7 linked regions of the Cricetulus griseus genome follow. The protein of the gene in region 5 purifies or fractionates together with the protein of the main gene of each other region. This does not show direct contact. Links are inferred from orthologs where the notes say so. Each region holds a gene or a part of one and is shown on either strand. Other genes may lie near its edges.

Evidence for each region.
Region 1: the proteins of Cdk19 (region 5) and Med12l purify together in Homo sapiens (affinity purification with mass spectrometry; 3 studies listed by BioGRID and IntAct, counting the BioPlex papers as one, with this or other methods). This does not show direct contact. The link is inferred for Cricetulus griseus from reciprocal best matches to the Homo sapiens genes CDK19 and MED12L.
Region 2: the proteins of Cdk19 (region 5) and Med8 purify together in Homo sapiens (affinity purification with mass spectrometry; 6 studies listed by BioGRID and IntAct, counting the BioPlex papers as one, with this or other methods). This does not show direct contact. The link is inferred for Cricetulus griseus from reciprocal best matches to the Homo sapiens genes CDK19 and MED8.
Region 3: the proteins of Cdk19 (region 5) and Med7 purify together in Homo sapiens (affinity purification with mass spectrometry; 5 studies listed by BioGRID and IntAct, counting the BioPlex papers as one, with this or other methods). This does not show direct contact. The link is inferred for Cricetulus griseus from reciprocal best matches to the Homo sapiens genes CDK19 and MED7.
Region 4: the proteins of Cdk19 (region 5) and Med13l purify together in Homo sapiens (affinity purification with mass spectrometry; 5 studies listed by BioGRID and IntAct, counting the BioPlex papers as one, with this or other methods). This does not show direct contact. The link is inferred for Cricetulus griseus from reciprocal best matches to the Homo sapiens genes CDK19 and MED13L.
Region 6: the proteins of Cdk19 (region 5) and Med23 purify together in Homo sapiens (affinity purification with mass spectrometry; 5 studies listed by BioGRID and IntAct, counting the BioPlex papers as one, with this or other methods). This does not show direct contact. The link is inferred for Cricetulus griseus from reciprocal best matches to the Homo sapiens genes CDK19 and MED23.
Region 7: the proteins of Cdk19 (region 5) and Med16 purify together in Homo sapiens (affinity purification with mass spectrometry; 6 studies listed by BioGRID and IntAct, counting the BioPlex papers as one, with this or other methods). This does not show direct contact. The link is inferred for Cricetulus griseus from reciprocal best matches to the Homo sapiens genes CDK19 and MED16.

The regions. Positions count from the first base shown.
Region 1 is NW_023276806.1:92,245,073-92,248,572, forward strand, and holds part of Med12l (mediator of RNA polymerase II transcription subunit 12-like protein), read right to left. Parts: intron 3,471-3,500; coding exon 3,396-3,470; intron 3,293-3,395; coding exon 3,102-3,292; intron 2,423-3,101; coding exon 2,261-2,422; intron 1,066-2,260; coding exon 954-1,065; intron 1-953. UniProt on the Homo sapiens protein: May be a component of the Mediator complex, a coactivator involved in the regulated transcription of nearly all RNA polymerase II-dependent genes.
Region 2 is NC_048595.1:33,902,819-33,907,024, forward strand, and holds the start of Med8 (mediator of RNA polymerase II transcription subunit 8), read right to left. Parts: upstream 2,801-4,206; 5' UTR 2,786-2,800; coding exon 2,753-2,785; intron 2,122-2,752; coding exon 2,003-2,121; intron 1,151-2,002; coding exon 1,006-1,150; intron 433-1,005; coding exon 292-432; intron 112-291; coding exon 30-111; intron 1-29. Other genes in the region: KICSTOR complex protein SZT2, read left to right, coding at 3,826-3,852. UniProt on the Homo sapiens protein: Component of the Mediator complex, a coactivator involved in the regulated transcription of nearly all RNA polymerase II-dependent genes.
Region 3 is NC_048600.1:60,992,662-60,994,835, forward strand, and holds the end of Med7 (mediator of RNA polymerase II transcription subunit 7), read left to right. Parts: exon of another isoform or gene 1-21; intron 22-717; 5' UTR 718-734; coding exon 735-1,436; 3' UTR 1,437-1,674; downstream 1,675-2,174. UniProt on the Homo sapiens protein: Component of the Mediator complex, a coactivator involved in the regulated transcription of nearly all RNA polymerase II-dependent genes.
Region 4 is NC_048597.1:98,644,605-98,647,501, forward strand, and holds part of Med13l (mediator of RNA polymerase II transcription subunit 13-like), read left to right. Parts: intron 1-697; coding exon 698-830; 3' UTR 831-2,897. UniProt on the Homo sapiens protein: Component of the Mediator complex, a coactivator involved in the regulated transcription of nearly all RNA polymerase II-dependent genes.
Region 5 is NC_048595.1:263,010,347-263,013,846, forward strand, and holds part of Cdk19 (cyclin-dependent kinase 19), read left to right. Parts: intron 1-5; coding exon 6-149; intron 150-304; coding exon 305-374; intron 375-3,500.
Region 6 is NC_048595.1:244,070,302-244,073,801, reverse strand, and holds part of Med23 (mediator of RNA polymerase II transcription subunit 23), read right to left. Parts: intron 2,806-3,500; coding exon 2,663-2,805; intron 1,199-2,662; coding exon 1,024-1,198; intron 407-1,023; coding exon 243-406; intron 1-242. UniProt on the Homo sapiens protein: Required for transcriptional activation subsequent to the assembly of the pre-initiation complex. Component of the Mediator complex, a coactivator involved in the regulated transcription of nearly all RNA polymerase II-dependent genes.
Region 7 is NC_048598.1:100,693,907-100,697,517, reverse strand, and holds the end of Med16 (mediator of RNA polymerase II transcription subunit 16), read left to right. Parts: coding exon 1-7; intron 8-1,103; coding exon 1,104-1,296; coding exon of another isoform or gene 1,297-1,316; intron 1,317-1,523; coding exon 1,524-1,740; intron 1,741-2,346; coding exon 2,347-2,430; intron 2,431-2,664; coding exon 2,665-2,791; 3' UTR 2,792-3,111; downstream 3,112-3,611. UniProt on the Homo sapiens protein: Component of the Mediator complex, a coactivator involved in the regulated transcription of nearly all RNA polymerase II-dependent genes.

The sequences.
Region 1 (3,500 bases), on a different chromosome or scaffold from region 5:
GGAAGCTGACACTGAAATGTTGGAAGTTCAAGGTTCATGTGGCCTACTGAGAGAGATGAAGACCAGCTGGGCAAGACTTTGTCTCAATAAGCTAAAAATGGACTCAGTGGCAGAAAGCTTATCTAGCATGCATAAGGTCCTAGATCCAACCCCAGCACTAAAGAAAGAGGGGAAGGTGAAACAGATATTACTACAGTGAGGACAAAGAATGAGAGCAGAAATACTTAGAAGGTGACCACAGCCTTACTAAGGAGGCAAGGTGAGCAGAGAATAGCAGGAAGGGAGGGAGCAGGTCAGACTAATGTCTCAAAGGCATTGTTCCAGCACAAGCACCTAAACTGGAAGGCAGCCACAGTCTAGCAAGGCTTGAGTGAAAGGGAGAAGAGGTGGGAGAAACAGCAAATGTCCAGTCAGGAAGGGTTCTATTAGCTCAGCCCTGGAATCTGTAGTCTAGGAATTATGAGAAAACATGAATACTTTGTATTTAAATGGCTCACTCTGGAAGCTAGGCAGAGAAAAGATTTCTTCTCATATGCAGTGGGTGTGATGACAAAGAAAACCAAGTAAGCCTAGTGGCCTTGCTCATGTCATCAAATCCTACTTAACATCACAGGGAGGCTTTGTGTCAGGATAAACCAGCTCACACCACCAACTAACACATTTCTTTGATTCTACACATTCTAATTTTTTTTTCTGCTCTCCAGGATTCCAGGCAAACTACCTAAAAAGCAGTATGAGACAACTTACTTTAATAGTCTTTATATATCCATCAATGCATACTTAATACAAAGTTGTTAGCCTCAGGCTGACCATGATGCTAGACAGAACTGGACATGGATTATGTTTCCTAGCACCTCATTGATAGACACGTCTGTCTCATCTCATATTTGAAAGGAAAATAATGAATACAATCAGAAAGATACTGCCTGGCTTAGTACCACACTGCACTTTACCTGATTGACTTGATTCTGCAGAGATGTGAGGAGGCCTTCCCGTTGTTCATCTTGCCCCTTAAGGCAGGTAAGGACCAAGGAGAGGAAAGGTTGCTGACTCAAAAGAGACATACTACAAAGGAAGTAGTAACAGTTAGAAAGAATGGCTTGCACCCTGGTGCAACAGTTAATCTGTCTAGTAGACTCCCTGCCCTTGTTTATTTACTACTAGACAAAGGACAGAATGGCAAACCACCAGAGAAAACTCAGGAAGGTAACACATTTCTGTACTTTACAAGATTAAAAAGCCACTGGAGAAGCTTGTGAATGACGATGCTCTATTGCTCTGTAAGGTATTGCCAAGGCAACAGAAACCTACAGTCGATGTCATGAGCCTGCTTTATGTTACTAGGGAGATTTTTAAATATATATGACAAAGACTACAAGTGTACACAAAGATTAATAAGAAAAATTGAGAAGTTCCTCAAACAAAACTCTCCTTTAGGAAGCACATGTCCCTGTGAACCTTGAATATTTTGGACGCCTATGGGTTTTTGTTGTATATTTCTTAAAGACCAACAGCATAGTCTTGGTAAAGTCAGGGGTGGACACAAGGTCTGAGCCTCCAAAAGCAAGGTTCTTGCTGGAAATATCTAGAGCCAGGTTCTGACACAGCCCATGGCCTCCACTGGAAAAGGGGCAAAAATTCTCTTTCAATTTTCATGTTCATAAAATATCTTCAGTTAGGGAACAATGGATAAACTGATTGATATAGGAAAAATAAAATTTTCTGAAAGAATGGATCTAAGCCAAAACTTTGGATCAGGAGCTTCCTTTTCATAGATGGCCAATAAAGAATGGTCATGGCAGTATTATTAACAGGCAACAAGAATCTCTGTTTTTAAATTTTTATAAAATGGAGAAATTATGACTTTTCTTTTTAAAACTACTTGGATGCTAAATTTATAGGATAAATATTCAGCCTCAATAATATGATCTATTTCCAAAAGTAATTCTTTGAAACCTTTTCTTGGTCATAAAAACAGTTTTGGCAGTTGTTATGACTACTTAAACAAGAGTACAGAGCAAGATTCCTAAATTTTAGAAAATCAGTAATTATTTCAAGGTTGTAGGTCAGAATTAACAGCAAACCCATGTTTCAACAGCTTTGCAGTGATTTGGACACATAGGCAGGAATGGGAACTGGTGCACTAAACATTACTACAAGACCAGACAGACACTGTGGACACTGAGTATGGCATGGCTATGATGCAGGAGGCTAGACTTCATTCAGATGCTAACCTGATGGAAGGCATCCACCAGCATACCTTTTCTGTTTCTGCCTGTCTCTTTCCTTCTTTGAAGAAGAGCCCAGGTGCTGCCCCTTCTCCAGCTCTTCCCCAGCAGCTTTCAACACTCTTCCCTGTACGGAGGTTGGCAGCCTGGCGATGAGGGGGGCCACCAGCCACACACCCCTGCGTTCAGAGGAACTAAAATCAGAAACAGGCGTTACACCTAACAAAGCAGCTGGTCTCTGCTCTCACAGTCAATACAAAAACCCAACAGTAAGCCAGTAGGACACAGACTTCTAAAATTCCCCTATCATGTCTGTACTTTCTCCTCTTGCTAAAGACCAAGACATCTGCTTACTGCTTATACATTCCACTCACATTCATTGCGGAATAAGAGGTGCTGTTCTGGGAAGATATTTTCCATACTAAACAGTTCTCAGTGACTCTCCTGGATCCCTCATTTCTGATCACTCACCACCCTTTTCTATGGACACTGTCATGGACACATGTTCAAGCCAAGGAATAACCAATCTTTAAATTCTAAAACTCACTATTGAACTCTTTTACCAAAATTATGGTATGCAAACCAATCTGTCTTTCATAATGAAAACAATTACATTATGATTTCATAATCACATCAAGTGCTATTATGAATGCAAATTACTGTATTTGTACCCAAACTACCAATTAATAAAGACACATAGAGAGTATTTCATATTTAATGACTGGCCCAAAGTCAGTAATACTATAAATCAAACTTAAGTTCATCTCTGGCTCCAAAGTATCTGGACCTACAACAAAATACCTAAAGTGCCAAGACATCACTCACTTTGCCCTTTAACTTGTCGAATAACCCAACTGTCACTTAAAGCAATACCTTAAAAATGTCTTTATTCCATTCTGTCTTGTGCTACTTGTATCAGCACTTCCAATACCATTTGGGTTGAAGAGGCTTATGCCAGAACTTGGGGCATTGTTATTTAGGTCTGCAGACTGCTGGAACACTTCTATCGTTGCCTTTGCAATATTGTCCAGTAAGTTGTTCATTTCGGCCACAGAACCAGAACTCTAGAGTCAGGGAAATGAAATAAAGTTAGCCTTGATTTTCAAATATCAATGACTCTTTTGCTTTTTGATTTGATCCACATGTGTGCTTTCAACATATACTCACAGGGTCCTTCAAGCACTGTTTGATCATTAATTGAAGCTCTAGCCAGGACTGTCTCAATGTCCACTGCTCAAGATTCTGGAGAAAATATGGAGAATATAACATTAA
Region 2 (4,206 bases), about 230 Mb from region 5:
CACTCTGTTCTGCCAACCAGCCTCCTTACCTCCACTCTCTGATTCTCGTTCCTCTTTGCTAATTTTCTCCAAAAGGTTTGAGCACATTTTATTCAAGCTCTGGATCTGCTTCTGCAACACACAGGAATTGATGTAGTGATTAGAAATGACTCTGGGAAAGCATCTTCCTTGTGCTCTTCCAAAGGCAGCCTAGCTGTAACCAACCACAGACTCCTACTACCCAGGCTTGGTAAAGTCTTGCTTCTTATGAAGGGATGGGGATGGGGCAGCAGGGCAGTGACTCAGTCCAACCTGAGCTGCATCAGCACCAATTCTGGCAGCATCTGTTGTCAGCTGCTTCTCCTGCTCTTCAACTTCAGGGTCAGGCTTGGTTCTCAAATGGTCAGGGACGACCTCATGGCTGAAAACAGGCACTCGTCCTTCAGTCTGACGCTGTAACACAGATTGTATTGATCCTATTGTGCTATCCAAGTAAGCCGATTCTAACCCAGTTTCTCTTCCGTGGGAAACTGCATTTTTAGAGACAACACAACCTGAGACACAAATGTAGCTTTCTGTGGCTTTGTCTTTTCACATACACTCTATCAGAACTAGGACAAAATAAATTCCACCCTCCACAACCGCACTGTAATTTTCTTTTTGTTGTTGTTTCTATTTTGTTTTGGTCTTTCGTGATTCCCCACCCCCATTCTGGGGACCAAACCAGGACTTTTTTCTACCACTGAGCTAAATTCCTAACCCCACATTTTAAAGACTGATTGGACAAAGTTACAGGCAAGCAGAACAGACTTTTTTTTGGAAAAGAAAGGTCATGGACTTAGTTGACATGGCCTTGGCTTTCACAACATTATTTAAGAGTGACTCCTGACTCCAGAAGGACAAAAAAGCAAGTCTTCCAGATAGCAGCCCCTACTTTTCATTGCTATACAGAGGGTCCAATCAACAACTGTGCTCCAGACTTTCATTTAAGGACCTGATTTCCCTGGTTCAATCCTTTCTTCTTACCATGAGGTCTTCATCTCGATCTGGGGACAGCACCAAAGGGATGATGACCTGGTTACGGAACAGTGGTGTCTTCTCATGCTTTAAGACCTTGTTCAGAGTGTTCAACTGTCCAGAGAGCAATGCAAAGCTATCCAGGACAGAGGGCCTGCGGGTGGTAGGAAGTCATCAGAACTACTTTTCCCTATAAAGTAATCTCTAAAGTTCTAATGCTGGAACACCCAGACTCACCCCCAGAAGACTCACAGCCCTATGACTAGCCTAGGCAAGAACCAGATTTTCTAGCAGAGATGATGGAGTTGGGAAAGAGGAGCACACTGTCAATTTCCAACACGGACACACAGACGTAGAAAAAAAGCAACTCTTTTCCTTTTGGGGGGGTGAGGGGGCAGGGTTTCTCTGTGTAGCCCTGGATGTCCTGGAACTCACTCTGTAGACCAGAATGGCCTCAAAATCACAGAAATCCACCTGCCTTTGCCTCCTGAGTGCTGGAATTAAAGGTGTGTGCCACCACTGCCAGTCGTAACTCATTGTTTGAATGGGATTGGAGGTAGTGGAAAACAGAAACTGTGGTTACACTGTGGTAACTAAAAATTCTTTAAGTGGATAAAAGCCTCCTTTCTAGCCTAGTTAACAGAATCCATCATTCCAGAGTAGGGTGGATCTCAGATTCAGCCACATCTGTGGAAGGAGATCCAGCATGAATATAGCTTTAATGGTTCCCCACTGGGGGAACACCTCCTCACCAAAGAAGTCAAAGCGTAAGAATTAAAACCTCGAAACAGCCTACGTTGGGAAACTGGGCATTTCTCTACTTCCTTGCCATGGAGGCTTTAAGCCAAACTATACTTGTCAATGTTGGGCAACCTAGTTCTTGCCAAATCAAAAAGGATATTTGCAAACTGATAAATAGTTACATCATTGGAGATGTCCTGTCAGCCCGGGGGCTTGGCCCCACCACCCATGGATTCCCTCCCCGGCTTGCCCTGGCAATCCTTACCAAGTCAGCCGGTCATACTCGTTTTCCAACTTGTAAATGAAACTCCCCAGTGAATTCTTCAGATCGGCCACTTGATTCAGCAGTGCATCTAAGGATGCCTCAAGCTGCTTCTCCTCCCTCTGCATCAACAGTATGCTTGGTTACTCAGATACGAGCGATCGTGGCACATACAGAAAAGCTAAATTGGTTTCTATCTTGGTATTTGGGTTACAGACAGCATCAACCCTTAGACCTTTCAACCTGTTCACCTGGCCTGAAGTCCTCTTACCAATTGATTCCTTCTATCAACCTCCTACACTATGGCCCTTCAAAAGGAACATTACACCAGACCTAATTCCCTTCTGCTTATGACCTCACCATTTTGTCTTCATAACAAAACTGGCTTAGAACTGTTTATCACTTAGCCCTTCATCTTTTCACTTCGATTCTCTTCTCCTCCCAGCTCAAAAGACTGCCTCTCTTAAAAGCCAACATTCTCTTAATCTGCAGATGCTCAAGCCAAAGCACAATCTTCTTTGTTAAGTCTAGCCTTTTCTGGAAAACAGTCTGCCTACCACGCAGCTGCTTGATGTCCTAACTCTGCTTTCCTTGGGCATATAGAGAATCCTTGTATTGTGTCATTCTGTGGAGTTGGTATTGCCACATTTCTTTCAGAAAGTTCAGTACATGTTAGAAAGGTTTGCCAAGGTAACAGGGGTGCTGTCGGCATATAAGGCCAGAAGGCACACCTGAGGTTCATTATCTCATTACCTCATGGGTGCCTCTATAGTACATGCAAGCCATTATCCTCTGCCCTGTGAGTGCAGCTACTCTCAACACAATCTGGAGAATCTCACATTTTGCCCGTATCTGAGGCTGTCTCTGAACACCAGCTCTGCAGCTCCCCTCCCCAACTGGTCCTTTGCTGAGTCAATGTGTACTCCTGCATCTCTGTGCCAGTATTCCAGTGTCTCTTTCGTAAACTCGGGTGACCCATAAACAGTCACTGTAGGAATACCAGGTGCAACAAACTGAGTAATGGAAGACAAAGGCGAGGAAACCAACACATTCTTTCTGGACGTTAGACAATTTTAAATGCTGTGTTGGCAGAGGGTTTCCGTTTGACCATCTGTGGTCTATTTACTCCACTTCTGCGCCCTAAGCAACGGGGTACAAGGCGGGAAGAATGACACAAAGCTGATTTGCAAACCCGAGAATGTGAAGGATGAGGTTGGATACTAGGTTCCACCCACAGCCTCGGATTACAAACTGCTTAGTTTTCGTCCTTGGCGGCCCACAATCCCTTCAGCCTTCTGAAGCCTTGTTGCGCCTGTGCCCAACAGTCGAGGTCGAGGGCTGTCCCAGCCCACTTCTTTCTCTAGCCTTCCCAAATGCCAATTCGATCCTTTCACACAGTCAAGCAAGTCGGCCGTGCCTTTCCCCCTAACCCACGCCTCTGACCCTCTGGCGTTAGCGCGCTAAATCCCCGCGCCCCCCGCAGCTGTCCTCGTCCCTTCCGGCTTCGCCGCCTTTCCCCAAACAGCCGAGGCCTCTGCCCTATCCTCACAGCTCCAACTTCCCAGAGTCCTCGGCCCGCCCACCCTCCAGCCGGTGGCTAGCGGCTGGGAGGCCCAACCGGCTTCTCACCTGCATTGCCACGGCCCGGTTGGCGCAACCACTTCCTCTTCCGGTTTCTCGCGCCGCCGTCTGTGCCCACCAATCAAAAAACTCAGAACGCGGCCATCCCTACGACTTCCGGTTCCTGCCCGGTACCGAGCTAGCTGGGTCAGAGGTCAGGAGTGGAGCATCCTCCCTGGCCCGGGCCGGCGCGGGAGGGCTGTGTGATGGCCTCGGAGCGCCCGGAGCCAGAGGTGAGGGGCGGGCGGGCGCGGGACCGAGGCCCAGAGGGCAGGCGCGTAGCAGCCTCCACCCTCCGGAGCCTCGAGGAGGCCGTAGCTGTTTTGTTTACTCAGATGTCATCCTGATCCTCATCTCCCACCCACAGATCTAGAGATGGTTGTAATGACAAAACTTCGTGTTTGGGGTATTAGTTGCGATTTTCATTGGGCCACGCTGAAGCTGACCGACTTTGCGGGTTTTTGTAGCTCATCAACTGGAATGTAATCAATAGCATGAGTTGATTTCGCTTTAGCGTCCATGCTTTTTGGAAAAGCCCTGCAACCGTCACAGCAGTCTTAACTTCCCAGATCCTGTCTCCTTCTTTA
Region 3 (2,174 bases), on a different chromosome or scaffold from region 5:
TCCAGGCTGCCCTGGTCATTGGTTGGTAATTTTTTTCCTCAGCAGTGAAGCTTCATGATACAGTGACAGATGTCATAAGAGCCTCTTCCTCCCACCACACCCCTTTATTTTCAGGATGCTTTGTATGGGTTTATCTTTGAGAAATTAACAAGTGCTAGTGTCTTTTGTGCTCAGAAAGGTTTTTTGTTTGTTTTTATTTTTTTCAATGCCATTACTGTAATTATGGGTACCTGCCTTCTGCTGGAATGGTGTGCCTTTCTAGATGTCTGCTGCACAGACCCTCTTCCCCCAGATGGGCAGGGAGGGGGTGGCAACAGAAGATCCTAGGCACAAAGCAAAAACAAGACACCCTGCACATCCATCCGTAGGCTGTTATCTTTCTTTTGCCTCAGCAGACACCCAGCTGATGTGTGGCTGCCCTAGCTTCCAATCCCCTCAGATTTTATTTATATATGAAAAAGAGTAACTTGTTTATTTAACTGCTCTGGAAAGCACCAAGGAGATAAAGGAAAACAATAGGGGTGTTAACAACATAATCTTTAATTAGAAAATAATTGATGGCCATTCCCTTTTTGTAAATGTTAGTTTTAAATCTGAGATCATCTTGTCTTGGACCCTGTCCTGTCAGAAGAAGGAAAAACATACTCTGAAGTCACTGATGGTGGTTGGGGGTAGTGTTGTCTGGTTCTGCTCTGAATCTGTGTTCTGTTTCTTTAGGTTCTTGATTGTCGACAATGGGTGAACCACAGCAAGTGAGTGCACTCCCACCACCTCCAATGCAGTACATCAAGGAATATACAGATGAAAATATTCAGGAAGGCTTAGCTCCCAAGCCTCCCCCTCCAATTAAAGACAGTTACATGATGTTCGGCAACCAGTTCCAATGTGATGATCTTATCATTCGCCCTTTGGAAAGTCAGGGCATTGAACGGCTTCATCCTATGCAATTTGATCACAAGAAAGAACTGAGAAAACTCAATATGTCTATACTGATTAATTTCTTGGACCTTTTAGATATCTTAATAAGGAGCCCTGGGAGTATAAAACGAGAAGAGAAGCTAGAAGATCTTAAGCTGCTTTTCGTACATGTGCATCATCTTATAAATGAGTATCGACCCCACCAAGCAAGAGAGACCTTGAGAGTAATGATGGAGGTCCAGAAACGGCAACGTCTTGAAACAGCTGAGAGGTTTCAGAAACACCTGGAACGAGTAATTGAAATGATCCAAAATTGCCTTGCTTCTTTGCCAGATGATTTACCCCATTCAGAAGCAGGGATGAGAGTTAAAACTGAGCCAATGGATACTGATGATAACAGCAATTGTACTGGACAAAATGAACAACAAAGAGAAAATTCAGGTCACAGGAGGGACCAGATTATAGAGAAAGATGCTGCCTTATGTGTCCTAGTTGATGAAATGAATGAAAGACCATGAGTATTTTTTCTTTTAGTGAATAGCATCATATATTAGTTTATTTTCTCTTGGACAGTCTTAAGAGGTATAACTAAAAATATAAAGGGACTTTTCTCAATTGAAATGCTGTAGGTGATAATTTAACAGTAAGGATAGGCAAGGAAGTATATTTGAGTAATGATCATAAAAAAGCAGAATGTTTGCTATTGAATGGGATAGTCCTATTTTTGGAAGTGGAATAAAAATTTTAAGAAATATTGAACTGTCATTCTTACGGGGGAGTTATTTCCTTTAAGACTAATAAAGGGCATCAAACTGTACATGTGAAATTACAAAATGTTTAGATTTATTCCAAAACAATACAGGAACTATTTTCCTGATGACTGTTCTACAAACTCAGTATCACAGCCGCTTCTTCCTTATCTTCCATAAAATATCTGCTAGGGGCTTCCCCTTCCCCCCAGTCAGGTAATCAGTCTTCGGTCACTAAGTTTATGTTCATTTTAGACATTAAAATATCTTATGTGCTAACTATATTTCCTGTGTTAGCTGTCTATGTGAGTGTGAGTGCATTTCCTGCAGAGGCTAAAAGGGTGTTGGCTTTTTTTGGAGTGAAGGTGGTTGAAAGCCATTTCTGTGGATGCTGAGAACCAAACTGGTACTATACAAAGAGCAGAATGTGAGCCACTGAGTCATCTCTCTAGCCTCTGCATTATTCCTTTAAAGCCGACGTCTGGTGTTAAATCTGGAAGTTTGCAA
Region 4 (2,897 bases), on a different chromosome or scaffold from region 5:
ATCCTCTGATCCCTCACCCCACCCCCACTGTTGGCTTATAGATGCGCACTCTTGCGCCCTGCTTTACACAGATTCTGGGACATAAACTCAAGTTCTCCTGTCACTAACTGAGCCATCTCCCAGTTCCATGACCAGATCTTAAAAACAAAACAAGCAAGCCAGAAGTGTCAGGTGTCTTGAGAAGATGCATAAGCTCTTCCCAGTGTTCTCTCACGGACAGTAGTTTGGAAATGAGAGGGAGATAGAAGCCTCATCTGTAAGCCCTTGGCTTCCCAGCTCTCTGGTGGAACACAGAACAAGGGGCCTTGTGGTGGGTAAAACGTGTTGTGTAGCCAGGATCCCAGAGCTGAGGTGGCTAAGGCTGTGACCAAGAGTGATAGGGAGACCCTGTCCACCTCCATTTATTTTTCAAGTGACTACAACAGATTAACATTGAGAAACTGGTAAGGCCAAATGTTGGTAAAATAATTGGTACATTCTGTTCAATTCAGTATTGCCAGTATATTCTTATTGTGGCATTTAGCCAACATGAAACATTCAGACTTGCCTCATCGTAATGTTCAGTGGCCTCATGACCCTGGTGGCCGCCATGGTTGGACAGTGCAGGTGTGAAGGAATGCAAGGTGGGCTGTACTGGCTTCGAGTCTAACCCCAAGCCTTATGGCTCAGAAGCTGACTTCTGTGTTCTCCCTGGCAGGTTTGTACTGGAGCAGTACAATGCCCTATCCTGGCTCACGTGCAATCCGGCCACCCAGGACCGCACTTCCTGCCTTCCCGTCCACTTTGTGGTGCTCACGCAGTTGTACAATGCCATCATGAACATGCTCTAACTGGGAAGCGCTTGTCCCTCTGCCTCAGCTCCTCCCGCAGCCTCAGCCAAGGAGCCTGCTCCACTCTACAAATGCCCGGCCTTTTTCAGATCACTCCCCACAGCCCTGCACTGTGACGCCTTCTGAGCAGGCTCATGCTCATTCTGCAGTGTTCATTGCCACAGTGACTCCTTGATGTGTCTCAAGAGGACCTGAAAATTTCCCTAGGAAGGGACTTGAGCCAATGTGTGATGTGTGCAGCCTGCAGTCACCAGGAAATGGTGGCTGTTGGTGACTTAAGAGGGAAACAGAAGACACACTGTCCTTTTGCACAAGAGTCTGCTCTCAGCCTCTGTTAGTGTCAGTCTGTCCAGCCCTCTGGATGCAATCCTCTAGCCAATGGTGGATGCCTGTGGGTCACCCGGACTCCATAACCTGGGACGCGTCACAACTAAGAGCCAGCTCCATCCAGTACAGGATTTAGTACTGGGGTCTCCACCTCTCCAGCCTGTCAGGAGGGCTTTGGTTGGCAGCACACCTTTGTAGACACAGGAGGTCTGGAGACAGCTGCATTTGTTTATTTATTTTTTGTTTTGTTGTAAGGTTTTTGCAACTTTCTTTTTTTCTAATCTTGAGGACCAGGTACAGTCGCTGAAACCCACCAAGACCCACCATAGGATTCTCTGACTACATACCTCTGTCCTAGAAGCCAGAAAAGGAGTGAGAACAAACTGGGGAGACCATGCCTGAAAAGCAGTGTAGTCATAACCACCCAGCAGTAGACGCTGGTACAAACCATCAGGGTCCGAAATGTTCTGCTGTGCTATGTGGCCCGCGTTTGTGTGAATTACACTTGTATACAAAGGCAGTCAGGCTCAGCCCCAAGCTGGAGGCAAGGACCTTAATCACTTCTCTATACAGTCACATGGAAACACCTTTTCTAGAGAATTCTTACAGAAACCCAGGTCTCTTCTTTCATTAGATCAAAAGGGATTCGTGTACATATCACAACCCAAAGTGTTTGTTCAAAACACTTTGTAACAAAACCAGTTACAAACATGGTGATTTTTTTTCTGGACCATAGGAATATTGTTTCAAAGAAATAGTACAACTCAACCATTAAATCAGTACTTGAAGCTGAGCCTCTATGTGGGACTTTAAAAAAAAAATGCCTTTTTAAAGCATTAACAGCTGATTGAAGTATTTTTGACTCCCCCTCCCAGACCTTAGGGTTGACTTTGAAGCCCTGTTTCTAGCCCTTATGTTGTATGTTTCTGTCTGCGGGTAGTGGATGTGGACTGGCTTCCAGAGTCGCCTGGCGGGCACTGAGCCCGGCTTCCGTGGGAGAGTCCTGCAAACTAAGTTCTTCCAAGAGACTTTCATGTCCTGGTTATTAACAAAGAAAAAAAGGAAAAAAATGTAATAATTGATATGATTTTGTAAAAGTATTTTTCTTGAGATAATCTAACGTTTAAAACATTATATTAAATAACACATGGTGGGAATGTGAAAGCAGAGAAATAACTTGTAAATGGGTGATTGTTCTCTGTCCCACCAGCTGGGGGGGGTTGACTTTCCAATGTATAGCTTAAAAAAATCTGATCTATCAAACCATTTGTATCTAATGTGTACAGTGTAAAATTGACTTAAAATACCGCAGTGCTATTTTTTCTTATCAGAGAGGAAACCCTCAAGGCCTTTTGAAGAACGTAAGATGATGGGGATGTAAACTTGTATAGAGTCACCCCGGTGAAAACGGACTGTAAAGTACATATTTGTAATCTTTTACCACTTGGGGTTGCTTTTTCTCAGAATTCATCAGAACTTTGAATATCTCTCTCTCTCTTTTTTTTAAATGGGCTGTTTTTACTGCAGGGGCTTTTCTTCCCTAGAAACCCAACTCTACACAGAAAAAGAAAAAAAAAAGGAAAAAAAAAACACAAAAAACCAGAAAAACACTATAAAAAGTTTTAAAAGAAGGCAGCAAAGGGTAGTTTTCATCTGGTGTCTTTTATTTAAGTTTTTTAAGTTAAGAAAAGCTGGTGACATATTTATACGTTTTTGTGCAAAAATAAATGAATGGCAATA
Region 5 (3,500 bases):
CATAGATATATGGGCGATAGGCTGCATATTTGCTGAATTGTTGACTTCAGAGCCTATTTTTCACTGTCGTCAGGAGGATATAAAAACAAGCAATCCTTTTCATCATGATCAACTAGATCGGATATTTAGTGTCATGGGGTTTCCTGCAGGTAATTTGTTGCCCTTTCAAAATACTATTTTGAGTTATATTTCAAAAGTGTTCCTTTGTAAGAGCATGCATAAAGTTTGTTGTATGTTTATTTTTAAACTAAAAGAATTAGGAGACTTTTAATAAGATACTTTTCTATTAAAATTTTTTTTTAAGATAAAGACTGGGAAGATATTAGAAAAATGCCAGAGTACCCAACACTTCAAAAAGACTTTAGAAGAACAACGTGAGTAATTCTGGATTACCACAGTCCATGTGTGCTGGGAAAAACAAACGAAAATCTGAGATAAGTAATTCCCGAACACCAGGAATTAATTTTCTGATAGTTCCAGAGGCTGGAAGTCCAAGATGAAGATGCTGTCAGGCTTGGTGTTTATCTGTCTGCTCTCTGCTTTGAAGAGTGCCCTTGTTGCTGGTGGGAGGGCAAAGAGTGGGAACTGTGTAATATCTCTCCTTCTAAGATGTTAATGCCATTCAAGGATGCAGAAGCCTCCATAACCAACACCTTTGAAGGCCTCCCTCCCTTTGATACTTACATACTGGGGATCAGATTTCAGCATGAGTGTTGAGAGTGATATAAATACTCAGGCTCATTAGTTATAGAGTGTAGCTTCAGTAGGAAAAGTTAGCCCTTTTCAAAAAGGATATAGATTTAAACCAGCAATTCAGGTGTTAGTTGACCTTCATGTCTGTAATTTAAAGCATATTCCAAATGATTTTAACATATATATCCAATTTAGGGCTGTGATTTTTAAAAACAAGGGCCAGGCCTGATGGCACACATGTTTAATTCCAGCACTTAAGAGGCATAGGCATGTGGATCTCTCTGAGTTTGAGACCAGCCTGGTCTACAGAATGAGTTCCAGGGCATCCAGGGCTACACAGAGAAACCATGTCTCAAAAAAAAAGAAAAAAAAGAAAAAAAGAAAGAAAGAAAGAAAAGAAAAGAAAATAGAAACAGTTACAGTTTTAACATATTAAAGGTCTCAGTTCAATACTAGAGCTGTGGTTTTATTCCTGTCTGAGTAATGGTTGATGACCGAGATGCTGCAGTGGGAAACTAGGACAGATGGCAAGGAGGAGCCATATGGTCCAGGATCTGAATAAAGCAAACTGTGTATGTTGAGTAGAGGCGAAGGGAGTGCAGAGGCAGTAATAAAACCCAGGGTTCTATAAGGAGCAGAACTGAGGGACAGAGAGTGTTTGCTTTGTTAGATTGCCTTATAGGATGTAGTCCGTTAGTCCAACGATTGGTCATCTCATAGTGGAGAGGATGAGAATTGGGTAGTTGTTCAGTCTGCAGGCTGGTGACTGTCTCAGCAGTCTCAGTCTGGAAGATCCATGGAGAGCTGCCTGACTTCACATCGGCATTCCAAAGGAGTTGTTTGTAACACTGGTGAAGAAACAGCAACAGTAACAGAATAGGAAGACTTGCCGTTAAGAGTGAGGACAAGCAGGCAAAAGCAGTTTTCTTCTTCATGTGTTTTTATCTGGGCTGTCACCAGGGAGATGTTGCCTGCATTTGGGGCTGGGCAGGGCAGGGCTGGGCTGGGGGGGTGGGGGCTGTGTCTTCCTGTTTCAAATAATCTGATGGAAGGAAATTCCTCACATTCCCAGCACCTCCTTGGTAGCTCACAAGTGTCCATGACTCCAGTTTCATGACGTCTTATACCTTCTTCATGCCTCCAATGGGCACTGCATGAGCATGACACAGAAATACGTGTGGTCAAAATGCCCATACACAGGAAATAATTTTTAAGAAAAAGAAGGGACTTGAGAGATGCCCTTTTAGCCTCTGCAGAAAAACACCCATACACATTAAAATAAATATATAAATAAAACTAATGGTGATAGTAAAACCCCTCACAGGAGTACCACAGTTTACCACCAGTAAAACTGAAGTTTCCAGTTTGTACAGCTTACATGTCCCTTGCAAAGGCCAGGGAGGTGGGTAGAAGCAGCAGGAGCCTGGTGACCTGAATGTGGAAAGCTGGGTGTGATGTCCCTCTAGCCCCTATGTGTTGGGGCACATGTAAACACAAATATGTCTACCTACCTACTTACACACAAATGCATGTCTTTTTAAAAATGTACCAAGCTTGGGACTAGAAAAGTATTTTAGATTTGAGGGTTTTGTTTTTTTTTTTTTTTTCAAATTCCAGAAGTGCTTTGGATTTCAAATTTTGAGGTTAGCTCACGGACCTGCATATATCACTCAACATTTTACCCATTTTTAAATTCACTTATTAAATTGCTGTGATCATTTGGATATTAAACTGCTGTGATAGTTTGGATGTGATTGGCCCTCATAAAGTCATAGGGAGTGACTCTTAGGAGGTGTGGTTTTGTTGGAGTAGATTTGGTCTTGCTGGAGGAAGTGTGCCACTGTAGGGATGGGTTTTGAGGTCTCGTATATGCCCAAGCCACACTGACTGCCTCAGTCCATTTCCTGTTGCCTGCAAGATGTAGGACTCTCAGCTACTTCTCCAGTACCATGTCTGCCTGCGTACTGCCATGTGCCACCATGACGATGGACTAAACCTCTGAAACTGTAAGCAACCCCAATTAAATGTTTTCCTTTATAAGAGATGCTGTGGTTATGGTGTCTCTTCACAGCAACAGTAACCCTAAGATAACCGCCAATGGAATCTCAGCCTGAAATAGAACCCCCGTCTGCCCTCTTAATCCTAAACCTCTGTGCCTTATATTTCATGTCCTAAGAAATGGCTCCATGATTCACCTAGTTGTCCAAGCCCAAGGCCTCCTGTTTCACTCTCATGCATTTGACTTTCCCTTACCTCTCCAAAGGATTAGCAGAGCTGCTCGATTCCTTTTTTCTAGAAATGCTTGGAATCTGTTTCTGCCCATCAACCTTGCCAGTATAGTTAGAACAGCGGCGTGCTCTGCTTACAGTTCCGCAGTGGCCTTCCTGTAGTATTTCTATCCCTGTTCAATCTGGGTGTGGTAGCACATGCCTTTAATGGCAGGCTGAAGAAGTCTGATCTCTGAGATAGGCCAGTCTGGTCTACATAGTGGAGCTCCAGAGCAGCCAGGGTCATAATAAGCCCCTGTCTCAAAACAAAAACAGCAGCAAACAATAGAAATCACTAAAGCAAAATATGTTGAAAACTGCAATCTAGAAACTACTTTATTTCAATAAAATATTATTTCAAAAGTAAAAGAATATTATCTTGCTTTTATCAAAAATAAAGAACTTCCAAAATACTTTGCAAATTAATTGCTAAGAATGACAGTAGATTTTTTTTTGTAACTGTTCTAAAGTGTCAGCTCCAGGTAGCTCATTAGAAAACAAGGCAAGGCTAAGGGAGTCAGGCTGTTCACTAGAAAGATG
Region 6 (3,500 bases), about 19 Mb from region 5:
AAATCTTTGGGAATTTCAAATTAGTTTGAAAGCAGTTATGAAACAAAACCCTTAGTTAGAATGGTGGTGCCCTGAGCTTCCATTATTAACTGATCATATGGAGATGGCAGAACGGGCACCTCCTGAGTACAGTCTGCCACTGTGGCCTGAGAGGAGCAAGACACTTCATCTGCTAATGTGGCTCTCACAGTCTCTACCTGTGACATGGTTGCCCTGGCTAAGGTCAGGATCATGGTCTCTACCTGTGACATGAGTTGCTCTGGCTAAGGTGAGGATCAAGGCTCGGTTCAGTTCTTCAGATTCTGCTGACAGCACCGTTTTGGGATCACTGAGGAAACGTGTGAACTGCGGTTGGACCTCCGAGCTCCCTAGAGCTGTGATGAGCCTCAGCGCAGTGCTCTCCACACTGAAAGCAGCAAGAAAGCACAGTTCACATTTATGCAGTTAGATCCAATTGTAGAATTATTAAACTGAAAGGACACAAAGATTATACATTACCTTTCTTTGACATAAAAAAACCTCCCTGTTTGATGCTAAATTTTACAATCAGAAGTAGCTGACCTTTTACACATGCGACAAGAAAGAGCTTATAGACTAGATGAAAACCCTCCGAGACAAACAACACGTCAGTAATTGTATTTTTACTGGGTAAGTAGCACACACTTGCAAGGTCAGCATTTAGGAAGCACTGGCAGGAGGATCAGGAATTTAAATCTTGCCTTGGCTACAAAAATGAATTCAAGGTCACCTTACAATACACAAGACCCTGTGTTACCTCCCCCATCTGAAACATATTTTCATTTATATCAAAATTAAAATGACACTTTAACCATGACTTGAAGTGTATTTAAATACAACTTCTATTAAAAACTTGGATTCCACTACTGTGTTAGAATTATAGTATCTTAGAAACAGAATTTTAATTTTACAACAAATAAGAAAAAAAAGAGGGTGGGGGATTAAGTCCCCCACTTGAAAGCACAAGCGTACCAAACCCGAGGAAGGGCAGTCTGTAGCACTCACCACAGATGGAGCTGGTTCTGGTTGGTTTGTGCAACTGCAGCCAGCGTGTGGAGATGGCTGAGGAGCTGCACCCTGTAATGAGGCTGAATGTGGTGCATGCGGTAGCTGAACATCTCCAGAAGGGTGTGCAGAATGCCCCAGGCGTTCGACTTGAAGACAGTAGGCAAGAGCTGACCTGGAGAAAGAAGAATTCCAGGCACCAGTTACTAAAAGGGACAAACTTGGATATTTGAAGAATATCACACTCAGGATATATACAAAAATGTAACTATAATAACATATACACGCAAGTACATACACAGTTCTACTTGTAGGGGTGAAAAAATCAGAGCCTACATACACATTGAATTTATCTTTCCTTTCTAGAGTTTGATAAGTCAGGCTCAAGTTAAGATGGGAAAATTAAATGAAAGCAACCACACACAAAAAACAAAACCAAACAAAAGAATAAAAGCCCATCAAACTGCCAACTTGCCTTGCTTCTCAGTTATCTTTTACAATATTTCCATAGTCAAGATTTATGAATTTTGAGTATGAGAGACATTCCTTTCTCTCTTTTTTATAGTGCTGGAAATTAAACCCAAGGGTTCCATTACCTAGGCTGGCAGTGAACTCTTACACTCAAGTAATTTTCCTGCTTTAACCTCCTCAGCAGAGACTACAGGTGTACACCATTGCAATTAGCACAATTATAACAGTCACTTTTGTTTTTTTGTTTTTTTTGTTTTTGAGACAGGGTTTCTCTGTGTACCTCTGACTGTCCTAGAACTCACTATGTAGACCAGGCTGACCTTGAACTCAGAGATGCACCTACCTCTGCCTCCCAAGTGCTGGCAGGATGTATGTGCCACCACTACCTAGCCAGATTCAATTTTTAATTAAAAAAAAAAAAAAGGCAAGGTGTGGTAGCAGCTACCTTTAATCCTAGCACTTGGGAGGTAGAGGCAAGAATCAAGAGTTCGGAGCCAGGTTCACCAACATAAAAAGTGAGACGCCAGCTTGTACTGGACTATGTAGGAGATACTGTCTCAAAAAAAGCCAAAAAGCAAACCAGAACAAAAAAGCTAACGTCTTTCCTTGTTCATTCTTTCTTCCATCCAAAGAAAGGTGGATTCACATCTAAGAGAAAAAGAGTGACTATGGTTAAAATTCAGGCTATTGGTGAAATGAATCACAAAGATGTTTCCAGTTAGAGAGCACCTATTATGTAGAACTGCTAACCACTAGCTAGCACTGTCTTCTGCAGTGTCCGAAAGTCCTTCTCTACTGCCAGCCAGCCTTAGCACTAGCCTCACCCAGCACTTCGGCCTCTAAGAATTCATTTGCATGGGAGAGGACGTTAAGCTGAGCAGCCCACCTGAGCACCTAGCTTACTGTCGTTTTCCTGCCATGCTACTTCCAAACAAGCTTCTTTCCCCACAGACATTAAGAAGCTCTCCTGTCGCACATTTTGCTTTCTTCTCTATCACACACTGTCTGTCACAGTGCATCTCTCTCAGTTGCTTGCTTTACTCCCTGTCCCCTGTCTGTCCTCAGCAGTGGGCCTCATGCCTGCTGCATCCTCTGAGAGCACCTAAAGAGTACTCCTTAAATTAATGAACATGTTAGTCATCAGAAACAGCAGTGAAGCTTGTCTTACTGATAAATCCTTTGATGCCCAAAGACTCTATTTCCATGTAGACCAGTAAGCGACTGTAAGTCTCCACCAGAGCTGGGGCTAAGGCGACACTGGATTTTGCATGAGCAAGTTTTATCACTCTGGTTGCAATGCTGTGTATAAGGCTGAAGAGGAAAAAAAGCACAAAATAAAAAAAAATGTGTCTACATAAACACAGGGCATTCTAGTCATCAACAATTTATAAATAAACTTATAAATCTGAAATGAAATGGTTCCAATGGACTTAGCTCACTTAACATGTCTAAGCTGTGCTGGACACTTGGTAATGATGGCCTGAACTACTGGAAATGAACTATGGTTTCTCTGGTGCTTTAGGGCTAGGGGTGTAGTTGGTTCAAAATGCAGAGGGATCCCTCTTCTCTGGAAGAGCAACCTCTCCATACAAGACCTAAGAGCATGCTTGGGCACCTTTAGTCTGTTTCTCCTCTCAAATAGGCAACTAAGCATTGCTGAGGAATAATAAAACATTTATCACCAAATTATTTAATAAATTATTGCAAAGACCCAAGTGCTTGATTCTAGCAGGGCTTCGCTCCAATTTGTCACATGCACAAGTACTACAACATATGGTCTTTTACAATGTTTATCATATGAGAGAAAAAAGCACGGCTTTTGTAGAGCTGCCATACAGACATGTTTTCTTTGGCCTATATAGTATTGTCTTAGGTTTGCACCAATACTCGAAAACTGAGAGAAAAGACATTTCTGGATTGCCTAGTCCTTCTCAAAAAACAAAACAAAACAAAGCAAACAAAAAAACATTTTGAAAACCTAGACTAGGCAGCATTTTACTACCCAT
Region 7 (3,611 bases), on a different chromosome or scaffold from region 5:
CAACCAGGTGAGCCCGCCTCCCGCATCAGCCCCGCCTCCTGGTCAGCCTGCCCAGCCAGGAGAGCCCCAGCTGCTCTCAGCTTCCCTCCCATCTCCCCCCACAGCCTCTGTTTCCATGAGCGTTACTGTGAGGCTGCCTCCCACTGACGGTGCTCCTGGCCCAGAAGCGGGTGACTCTGCCTCTCTGTCTGTCCCAGGTCATCTGAGCCTTCAAGGGCCTGGGCTGCAGGATCACAGGTTAAGCCACTGGCTTCCTGGGTTCTGTGGGAGATTAAGACAGCCACACTAGGGGGCTGGAGAGATGGCTCAGAGGTTAAGAGCACTGACTGCTCTTCCAGAGGTCCTGAGTTCAATTCCCAGCAACTACATGGTGGCTCACAACCATCCGTATGAGATCTGGTGCCCTCTTCTGGTGTGCAGATATACATGGAAGCAGAATGTTGTATACATAACAAATAAAATCTTAAAAAAAAAAAAAGCCAGCCACACTTGCCTGATGGGTGTCTACCAGGTCTCTAACAGCACCAAAGACATTGGACTGGTCATTTCTTTTTTCTTTGGTTTTTCAAGACAGGGGGTCTCTGTGTAGCTTTGGAGCCTATCCTGGCACTCAATCTGGAGACCAGGCTGGCCTCGAACTCACAGAGATCCGCCTGCCTCTGCCTCCTGAGTGCTGAGATTAAAGGCATGAGACACCAATGCCAGCTTTTTTTTTTTTTAATGTATATGTGCTCCATCTGTATGTATTCCTGTACACCACAAGAGGGCACCAGACCTCATTATAGATGGTTGTGAGCCACCACGTGGTTGCTGGGAATTGAACTAATGACCTCTGGAAAAGCAGCCAGTGCTCTTAACCTCTGAGCCATCTCTCCAGGTTTGGACTGGTCATTTCTGAGCCACTCTTGGTCTGTAGGGCACTGAGCATAGTTCTGGCCTTCCCCAACTCCGTGCCCACTGTAACCCCCTGTGGTGAAGGTCACACTGCCTCCAGACCTCACCCAGGGTCCAAGGGTTAGCTGGTGACTGACAGGCCCATACCCACTCACAGTATCTCTGGGGCTGCACATATCCAGCACTCATCCCCAGTGTCCCCACCACAGGGCTCCCCACTGAGGCCAGGACACAGCTTCCTGCGAGATGGTACCTCTCTGGGCACGCTGCGAGAGTTGATGGTTGTCATCCGTATCTGGGGCCTACTGAAGCCCAGCTGCCTGCCTGTCTACACAGCCACCTCGGACACTCAGGACAGCATGTCTCTGCTCTTCCGGCTACTCACAAAGCTGTGGATCTGCTGTGAGACCTTGTGCCCTCTGGTCATGGCTTCCCACCAAAACACAAGTTCAGGCCTAGCCCACCACCAAAGTTTAGACTTCTCACTATTTCCCTAGTGCTTGGGGTGCAGGTCCCTAATTCAGAGGGCAGACAGAGCCCTGGGGAGGCGGCTGTGGGTACCGTGTGGGTGACAAAGTGGCTTCCTGGGAAGGCTGTTGAGTGTGGTGACCTCCATCCCCTCCCCACAGGCCGTGATGAGGGCCCAGCCAGTGAACCCGATGAGGGCTTGGTGGATGAGTGCTGTTTGCTGCCCAGCCAGCTGCTGGTGCCCAGCCTGGACTGGCTTCCTGCCAGCGACGGCCTGGTCAGCCGCCTGCAACCCAAACAGCCCCTGCGCCTGCGCTTCGGCAGGGCACCTACTCTGCCAAGCAACACCTCCACTCTGCAGCTGGATGGCCTTGCCAGGTGTGCTCACCTGCCCGTCCTGCCTTCCCCTCATGCTCTGCCCTGCCTTGATCATCCTGCAGCCCCTGAAAGTGTCCACACCACAGGTTCTCTCAGACAGGGGTTCCAGCATATTCTAGAACCTGGTGTGTCTAAGGACCAAGTTCTGTTTCATCAGGTCTCTGCCATTAGAGAGAACTTTGGCATTCCAACCTTTGCTGTGTGCATAGAGGTGTTTGGTTTTTTTTTTTGTCTCATGTAGCCCAGGTTGGCCTCAGACTCCCAGTGTGGGAGGAAGGTGGCCTTGAACTCTGATCCTCCTGCCTCCAGCTCTCATGCACAGCTTTGGGTGTAGAATTCATTTATTCCCACTCACTGATTTGTGGAGGCTGCAGTAAGCAATGCTGGTCTCAGGATTTGCTGATGCCCGTCTCATGGTGAGGCCTCTGCCCCCTCCTTTTTGTACGTGTTCTCATCAACCCATATCCAGCCATGGTTGGAAGGTTCTAGGAAGGCCCCGTCTCACCAGGAAAAGGCCATCGGCTATTGCTTCTTATGGTTGAGCCCTGGCTGAGATGGCATTGTGGACCCAGCCCCCACAGACCCTCACTCCCCTCTCATCCCCAGGGCCCCTGGCCAGCCAAAGATCGACCACCTCCGGAGGCTGCACCTGGGCGCTTACCCAACTGAGGAGTGTAAAGCCTGCACCAGGTGAGTGGCTGTGGCCAGACTCAGGGTCCCCTCTGCTTCCCGCCTGGGCTGCAGACAGAGCCTGGGATCTGTAGGGCCAGGCAGCTTCAGGAGGCCTTTGGGCATGGTCTGTCATACCCGGGGTGTGGATGGCCAGGGCTTGGGGTGCTCCATTTTGCCTGCTGGCATCACTGCAGGCAACAGTATTTCTGGAGTTGGTGGGAGGGTGAATATCACCAGTCCCTGGCTCCCCAGGTGTGGCTGTGTCACCATGCTGAAGTCACCCAACAAGGCAACAGCCGTGAAGCAGTGGGAACAACGGTGGATCAAGAACTGCCTGTGTGGGGGGCTGTGGCGGAGAGTGCCCCTCAGCTGTCCCTGAGTTACAGCCATGCTCTGAATAGATGCAGGGACCTTCTGTGATGGAACATTGACATTGCTGTCCTCGTCAGAGGCACTGGCTCCCACCAACAACCCCGGGTCTGCCTCTTCTTGGGGGTACAAGGCTTGTGCCACCTCCAGGGCCTTAAGTCCCATGGTCACGCCCAGGCCAGCTTGAAGGAGCTTGGCTGTGTGTCGGTCCATTCTTCAAAAGGCCACAGTCCATATGCTCCTGTCCAGGTTGGGATTGTCTCCCTCAGTTTCCCTTTTGGGCTTATGGGAGTGGAAGGCAGGCCCAATAAAGTCCTCTTGTACACCAGGCATTTGCTATCACGATGGCCCCCACCACTTCTACCCACCAGGTGAGGCTCTGTGCTGAGGGGCCCACTTGGATGGAAATTGCTGGGACCATAGAGAGCTCTGCCCCTCCCCACTGCCTCTCATCTCCTGGTCTCTAGCAGCCTTTGCTGTTGGTCCCCAGGGGTCCGGCCTGATTCAAGCTTCCCCATTGCATCTGCCCCCTGCAGTCAGGAGCCTCAAGACCCAGGCCTTAAAGATCTTGGTAATTGGTTTTGTTGTTTTCTTCTTGGAACCCTGTGGAGCAGAGTGCAGGGCAGTGGCCACTCATGACCTGGGACTGGGGAGGGCTGCCTAAGTCCTCTGCTCCAGAGGGGTCATGTTCCACCTCACCGTGCTCTGACACAGCTTGTGAGAGGAGCCACAGACAAGATAACAGGGCCTGGTAGGATCCCCCATCCTGGAACCAGCTTTACTCCCCTACATTTTATTATGTAGCTGGAGATAATCTTGAACTTTTGATC